2 linked regions of the Neurospora crassa OR74A genome follow. The protein of the gene in region 2 purifies or fractionates together with the protein of the main gene of each other region. This does not show direct contact. Links are inferred from orthologs where the notes say so. Each region holds a gene or a part of one and is shown on either strand. Other genes may lie near its edges. The genes, in order: NCU03690 and NCU05803.

Region 1 (4,592 bases), on a different chromosome or scaffold from region 2:
AGCTGATCACAAGGAGGACGCAACTGCCTACCTATGTGGGCAACTCGGTGAGCTTTGCCAGTGCCGGCCTTGGCGGGACTGTTGAAGAGGAGATGGAAGCTTTCAAACAGGTAGCCGAGCTTGTCCTATCCAAACTTGAGTTTGCCAACGCGACGCCCAATGGAGTCCAGTCCTGAGCCTCGAACGTTGACAAAAGAACCCTTCCCAACTACAATTTTTCTTTTTGCTACTGTTGATGGGCACAAGTTGTTGCACACAAACACCTCGGCCTTTTGGCCAAGGGGATTCCGGCAGTTCCCTTCTCAACGAATTTCCGCAAACGCTTAGTTTGAGCTTGCCTAACCTACTCACCTTTTTTTGAACGTGCCACAAAGGCGTGTCGTTTCCCACGAATCCATGACCCAAGAAGGCCATGGAACTGTCACTCGTGTTCGGTTACCTGCTTGATACATGTCGGGTATTGGTAGCAATATGGATTGGCACCATATCCCGACGGGGCATGGCCGAAGGCGATTAACCTTCAGAGAATTGACGGAAATGTTCTGAACCCCAAAGCCCTGGTTATGATGAGGCAAAGGGTGTTATCTGCAGTTTCATATTTGGCACATCAACATGGCCGCGGGATAGATCGGCTCACAAAGCTGACCTGGCAGGTTTGGCAGATCTCAGTCGTCTGTTACACAGCAACACTGTCGTGGACCTTCTGGCGACATCCAAGTTCCATGTGTCTGGTAGGTCTGAAAAGGACGACTGGTATCCCGCCTGTGCTGGATGGACATCATCCGGTCTGTACAGCAAGAAGGAGAGAAAGAGGTGACGAGGAAAACTCGCCATCCAATTCCCAAATCATAGAAAGCGGTCTAGAAACTCAGTTCCCACCAAGCAGGCTTTTAAACTAAAATAGAGGCCACATGCGAGAGAGGATACCTTACCCTTACTGCCATCCCATCCTTACAACGCATAAAAAACCTAGCTTTTCTTCAACCAAATATGACCCGATAGGTAGGGTGGTTCACAAGCTGGGAAATGGGACGAACCCAAAAGTATCAAAGTCTCGGCCAGGCCCTTGGTCGAGGTTCAAAGGGCCGGGCGTCTCATTGACTGCGACGCCAGAAGCTCTGCCGATGACTCCTCTTGAATGAATGACCCCGGTGCCATTTGCTGTTCGATTTCCTTCGGGCATTAATGAGTTGCTGCTGTAACGGTGCCATCCACTTCAAGGCGCGTACGTGCATACGTAGGTAGCAGGAAGCTTAGCATTATCAGAAGGGGTTTTGTGCAACCATCAAGCGGGCGGGTGGCCGCCATACATGAGAGGTACAGAGCGGGAGAGAGAGACGACGACCTCATCAAGCGTCCATGGGAGGTTGCCCCGGCCCCGCTCTTGGACAGAACGAAGCTACAACCGCCCACGCAGAGCTAGCACCTGAAGACCACTGACCACACCTGCCACATTTCTTGACAGGCCCGCATCTCCTAGGTAGGCGAGCAGGCTTGGCATCGCACAAGTGCCAGTGCAGGTGTGCAGGGCAGGGGCGGCACCTCCACTTGTCTTCAACAAGTTTCCGTTCCCTTCCCCTCGACCACTTGCACTTGACGGCACAGCAAAAAATAGAGGCCAGCCAAGGCCCACTTTGCACCCCACATTAAACATTGCCCTGCTCGAGCCTTGCCCGCCGCCCACCCACGACCACCATCGATGTCGACCTACCGGTAACCACTGGCAATTGCTTCTGGGTATCGATCTCTTTCATCAACGAAACAACACCCTGCCTCCTTCCCGAGGACAAACTGCCGGTTCTTGTCTGCAGCTCTTGCTACCCGTCGGCCTGCCAGATGCGACTACCCACGACCAGCTTCAACTAAACGAACCCTAAAGAGTACCTCCGCCTTGAAGGCCGCGCTGTGGTGACCCGGCGCCTCTCTCACAACTGAACTTGCACTGTCAGAGAGTTCATTCGAGTCGGCCATTTTTTTTTCTTTTTTTCTTTGGGCCTCCCAATTCTGCGTTCGACTCTTCAGCAGTTCACCGGTATCGGCCCGACACCATCGTTCTGGTTCTCGTCAGCTACGAGATATCAAAGTCCGAGAACCCACCAACCGCCGCCGCCGCCGCCGCCACCACACGACACATCGCCGACGTTACGCGCCTGTGTCACTTCAATCCCAATTATCACCATGGCTTGGCAACCGAGTGGAGAGAACCTGAAGACTTTGGCACAATGTCTGAAGGATTCCCTGAGCGCCTTCAACAAGGCCGCCCAGAAGCAGGCTGAAATCGTGAGTTAATGCCCCTCGGCACCATCTAGTTACCCAGTCTGATGGAGCATTGCCACAAGACAGAGATTCTGACTTGTCTTTATAAACCAGATGCTTAACCAAGCGAAAGCTTCGCCCGATATCAACAACTACTTGGCCCTGATTTTCTCGAGCTCGGAACCACCCCAGGAGTTTCCAGCGACTGCTGCAGACTGGCATGTTGTGCGCTGTGCCGCCGCTCTGATGCTGAAGAACAACATCAAGAACAACTATAACAAGATTCCAGAACAGAGCTTGGCTCTTGTCAAGTTGGCTGTCCCCTTGGGGCTCCAGGACAAGAACTCACAGATCCGCAGTCATGCAGGCACTCTTGCGACTGAGCTGATTAACAAGGGAGGAATCTACGGCTGGCCCGAGTTTCTGCCCGAGTTGCTCAAGATGTTGACCAATGAGTCTGGTCAGGTAACGCCCGAGGCGCAGGAGGGAGCTATGGCTGCCATGGCAAAGATCTGCGAAGACAATGCGAAGATGCTAGAAAGGGAACACAACGGCCAAAGACCTATCAACTTTCTCCTTCCAAAGCTTATTCAGGCAACCAGGAGCGCAATTCCCAAAGTTCGCGCCCATGCTCTCACAGCCATCAATGTGTTCACCCCTAGGAAGTCGCAGGCCATGCTGAACTCGATAGATGACCTTCTACAGCACCTCTTTGCTCTGGCTGAAGATCCCTCAATCGATGTCCGAAAACAGGTCTGCCGTGCTTTTGTGAACCTGGTGGAAACCCGTCCGGACAAGCTTCTGCCCCATATCGAAGGCCTGGCCAAGTACATCATCGCTCAACAAAAGGGTGACGACGAGGATCTTGCCACTGAGGCTGCCGAGTTCTGGCTGACTGTTGGAGAGCACGATAACCTGTGGCGGGCCCTGGAACCGTACATCACAGACATCATCCCCGTACTTTTGGAGTGCATGGTCTACAGTCCCGAGGATATTGCTATACTTGGAGGTGCTTCGGACGATGAGGATGAAGAAGACCGGGAGGAGGATATCAAGCCACAGTTCGCCAAGAAGAAGCTGACCCGTGCTGCTAACGGAAACACTGCGGCTGATATGGCGAAGAATGGAAACGCGTTCGAGAAGGTTGCAAGCATGGAGGAAGACGACGATGATTTGGAAGATGGCGAAATTGACGACAGCGAGTCCGAGGGAGATGAGAATCCCGATGAGAAGTGGACTCTCCGCAAGTGCTCAGCGGCGGCACTTGATGTATTTGCTCGCGACTTTGGCGGACCAGTCTTCACTTCTATTCTACCATATTTGCAGAGCAACCTCAAGCACGCGGATTGGTCTTACAGAGAAGCGGCTGTTCTCGCCCTTGGTGCTGTTGCTGAGGGCTGCATGGACGTGGTCGTTCCCCACCTTCCAGAATTGGTGCCCTATCTTGTTAGTCTCCTCGACGACGAGGAGCCGGTGGTTCGCCAGATTACCTGCTGGACCCTTGGTCGATACTCTGCGTGGGCGGTTAGCCTTGTGGATCAGGCAGAAAAGGAGAGATACTTCCTGCCTATGATGGACGGAATTCTCAAGAAGATGCTTGACAAGAACAAGAACGTTCAGGAGGCTGGTGCCTCTGCCATGGCAAACCTAGAAGAGAAGGCAGGCAAGGCGCTCGAGCCTTACTGCGGACCCATCATCCAGCAATACATCCGGTGCTTCGGCAAGTACAAGGATAAGAATATGTGGGTTCTCTACGACTGCGTTCAGACGCTGGCTGAGCACATCGGCCCCGTCCTGGCTAGGCCTGAGCTTAGTAACCAGTTGATGCCAGTCCTACTGGATAGGTGGCAGAAGGTGGGTGATGAGTCCCGGGAGCTTTTTCCCTTGCTCGAGTGCCTTTCCTACGTCGCTATGGCCCTTGGCGATGCCTTCACCCCTTACGCCGAGCCTATTTTCGGCAGGTGTATTCGAATTATTCATCAAAACCTGGAGCAGGCCATGAAGGCCAAGACCAACACCGATCTTGATCAACCTGATGAGGATTTCCTGGTCACCAGCCTCGATCTTCTCAGTGCCATCATCCAGGCCCTAGACAACGACAAGGCTTCCAAGCTTGTTGCCAACGTCCAGCCAACCTTTTTTGAGCTGATGGCTCTGTGCATGGGGGATCAATCCGATGCCGTTCAGCAATCGGCATACGCTCTTCTCGGCGATTGTGCCAAGTACGTCTTTGAACAACTCAAGCCATTCCTGCCCAACATCATGCCGGTCGTTATCAAGCGCTTGGACATGGACACTATTCTGGACGAGGAGGTCGACAACAGCTTCAGCGTAGT
Region 2 (3,531 bases):
GGTAGGTACCTAAGCATGGAGCAACAAACGGACTTGATAGATAAGAGGAAGAAAGCGAGGTACTGTGCTGAATGAATACAAAAGCAATGATGGAATTGACGATGCGAATGAATGGAAATATCCTAGAAAGAGAAAAAAGAAAAAAAAAAAAAAAAAAAAAAAAAACGTCGACGTGATTCTGATGTCTGTCTGCTTGATGATGTTCATGCCCCTTGGGATGCCTTATTATACTGCATACTGCGTAGTAAAGGCGATTTTTGGCCTCGTTCATCGTTAGCGCCATTCGTGAGTACCTACCTACCTACCTACTGTATATACCTACACCTACAAGTACATCAGCTAACCACATGTATCAACATCAACCACACAACACCACACCATCCAAATCATCACATATTCATTCGACAAATGTAAAGCACACAAGGTAATGTACATATCTACCTGAGCTTCAGCTAGCGATTCTTTTGTTCAACTGCATGCTGTATGCTTGACGCTGATCATCAGACCGCACGACCGACCGTCCGCCATTTCGCATTTCGCTTCACTCAGGGGCATTGGCATCCCCCACCGCCTTCTCCTGAACAAGATCATCCAACCAACCAAACACCTTGCAGGCATCATCATCATCATCAACCGAAATATACGCTACAAGACATAACATTACTTTTCATACCGCTTATTTCACAACAGTTCTATCTAATGTACAGCACAGAGATATAAAGAAAACATCTTTTACCCAACCGGCGGTCTTTTCGCTTTCCTTTTTCCTCCTTCATGTCTTTTCCCTTCCGCTTTTTTTTTCCTGCTTCATCTTCTTCTTCTCCCCCAACTAATCAAACATCTCCCCCCCACCCGCGACATCCACCCGTCCAACACTCATCAACTCCTTCTCATCCTCCACCTCATCATTGCTCAATCCCAATCCACCCGTTCCACCCTCGGCCTCTCTACGCTCGCGCACCTGCGCACCCAAACGAAGTGCCACGCGCTTAAAGTAATCCTGCATGCTCCTCTTGACATTCGGCGCCATATTTCCTTCTTGCGATTCCAAGTACTTTTCAAACACCTTGCTTTCCTCATCGGCCACCGCGAAAAGCTGGACGAAAGCGGCTTCGGCGGCCAACTTGACGGGGATGACCATGTCGCGCACTGAGGCGAAGACGGGCGGGGCGAGTAGAGCCAGATGGGGACGGACGAGGTCGGGGTTGGTGCGCGCTAGAGTACGAACAAGCACGAGGGCGAGACGGCGCGAGTCGGTCGGTTGGCCCGGTGGAAGGAGGGTGGAGATGGTGCTGAAGAGGGGTTTGGTTGCTTCGAAGGATTTGGGCACGGGGGAGAGGAGGTATTTGCCCGTGGCGAGGATGAAGTTCTCGGTGATGAAGGTCTGGGGATGAGTTAGTTAGGGTCCTTGCTTACATGGGGAGAGAGATGGAAGGGGAGGTGAAAAAGGCTGCTGTGGGGAAGGGAAAGGAAAGACTCACGTTCTTGCTTGCCATGCCCTGGCACAAAAGCTCAGGCAAGTCATCCACCAACGAAGACTCCAAGAGGGTCTCAGGGCTCTCCAGCAGGACGGCGTTCAAAGCCAGAACACTCGAGTTGCTAAAGTCCCTGGTCAGGACTCTGTTCTTGAGAAGCTGGGCAGCCACCTCGTCCGAGACGTTCTTGACAAGGGCACCGAACAACTTGGCGTAGGTGATGGTCATGGTGTCGTCGCGCTCGTCCGCCTCGGTATCAATAAGACCGAGGACGGCGGTGCGAGAGCCCTCGCCCATGTTGGCGCCGGCCTTGCTGATGACCTCGTACAGGGCCTTGAGCATGGCCGTCTTGACGCCGGCGTCGGAAGTCTTGGAGCCCGTCACCAGCTCGGCGATCAAAGGATCCACGCGGGGAGTAAACTTGATAAGAGTACCCAAAGCCTTGGCGGCACGACTGCGGAGCACGTCGCTGGATGTGTCTGCGAGCGACTTGGCAAAAGTGCGCTGCAGCTGCGGCAGGAAGGGCTTGAGCGCCGTAGGCATCTTCTCAAGCAAGTTGTTAAGGGTAAGCAGAATGGCGGACTTGACCTCGGTAGAACGTTCGGAAACGACACGAATGAGCGGACCGGTAATCTGCGTGACAAACGGCTTGAGCGAGGCCTCGCTGGTCCTGTCGACAATGTCCGAGATGGCAAGGGCCGAAGCCACTCTCTGATCTGCCGAGCCGTTCATAAGACCCTGCAGGAAAATCGGGAGAATGGCGTTGATACCCTTGGGCAGCTCGAAGCCGCGCAGGTTGACGCCGGCAACGCCAACCTGGAGGAGGGTCTGGCGAGTAGAGATGACCAAGTTCTCCATGTCTTCCTTCCTAAGCTTCTTGGTGAACTCGCTAAGCGCGCTCCAGGCAGACTTGACCACGTCCATGTCCCTATCATCGAACGAGAGCAGGAGAGAGCGGATGATATCCTGGTTGTAGCGCGAGTAGTCCACATCGGCCGAAGCAAAGAACTTGGACAGGTGGAACGCGGTAGACGCTCTTCTGCGGTGATCGTCGTGCTTGAGAAGCTGCAGCAAGGTCTGCATAACCATGTTGAGACCGTCGTACTCGTCGATGGACAGGATGACAGTGTCGAACGACTCGTCAAGCTCCTCGCGGAGAGTATCGTCAGTGCAGTTGATAATGTTATCCATAAGCGAGTTGATGATGCTGGGCAGACGACGGTTCATAGCCGCGCCGGCAACCTTGGACAACGAAGCCAACGCCTTGGCGTTGAAGGAAGAAATAGGAGGCTTGATAAGGCTGGGGATGAGGTTGGGCAGTATCATGTTGGAGCGAGTAGTCTCGGTGAGCAAGGTGAGCAGAGCCGCAAGAGCATTCTCAGCCTCCTCCTCATTAGCGAGAAGGGTGAGAAGGAAGGGCATAACCTCTTCGACAGCACGCTTGCCGAGAATCTGCTGCAAGGAATCGAAGGCCTCGGCGGCGGCTTCTCTGACATCTTCGTCGCGGTCGGTAAGCGCGGTACGCACAACCGAGATGAGCGTCTTCTCGTGATCCTCGAGGGCCTCGGGAGAGGCAGAAGCGATGAGCTCCTTGAGGGCAAGGCAAATACCCTGTCTGGCATCGACATCGCTCGAGGTCTGGAGACCTTCCTCGAGAGTGGGCAAGAGTGTCGCCAGAACGCCGTCGCCAGCCTTCCTTATCAGCTCGCCCAAAGCATTGCTGGCAATGATCTTGTGCTCCATGTTAGAGCTGCCGAGACGGCGGATAATGAGCTGAGTGAGAGTGGGCACAAGCTCCTTAAGAATGCGAGGACTGTGGACAAGAGCCTTCCACACGCTGACAGCAGCGGAGCGGACGGCACCCGAGGTATCGCAACGGCAGATGTAGAGCGAGGACAGGACCTTGTTGCGCTTTTCCTCTCCGAGAATCTCACGGAGAGAAGCACCGGCTTCCTTGACAGTCTCGATATCCTCTTCCTCATCTTCACCATCAGTGACCTTGACACCGGTAAGGTTGAACAACAAATCACCAACGAGCTCGACGGAGCTGAGACGG

The links.
Region 1: the proteins of NCU05803 (region 2) and NCU03690 purify together in Saccharomyces cerevisiae (affinity purification with mass spectrometry; 3 studies listed by BioGRID). This does not show direct contact. The link is inferred for Neurospora crassa OR74A from reciprocal best matches to the Saccharomyces cerevisiae genes GCN1 and KAP104.

The regions. Positions count from the first base shown.
Region 1 is NC_026505.1:2,091,083-2,095,674, reverse strand, and holds the start of NCU03690 (importin beta-2 subunit), read left to right. Parts: upstream 1-1,606; 5' UTR 1,607-2,178; coding exon 2,179-2,280; intron 2,281-2,370; coding exon 2,371-4,592. Other genes in the region: NCU03691 (hypothetical protein), read left to right, coding at 1-176. UniProt on the Saccharomyces cerevisiae protein: Functions in nuclear protein import as nuclear transport receptor. Serves as receptor for arginine/glycine-rich nuclear localization signals (rg-NLS) and PY-NLS in cargo substrates. Its predominant cargo substrate seems to be mRNA-binding proteins.
Region 2 is NC_026507.1:3,886,543-3,890,073, reverse strand, and holds the end of NCU05803 (translational activator GCN1), read right to left. Parts: coding exon 1,482-3,531; intron 1,385-1,481; coding exon 830-1,384; 3' UTR 640-829; downstream 1-639. UniProt on the Saccharomyces cerevisiae protein: Ribosome collision sensor that activates a translation quality control pathway when a ribosome has stalled during translation. Directly binds to the ribosome and acts as a sentinel for colliding ribosomes.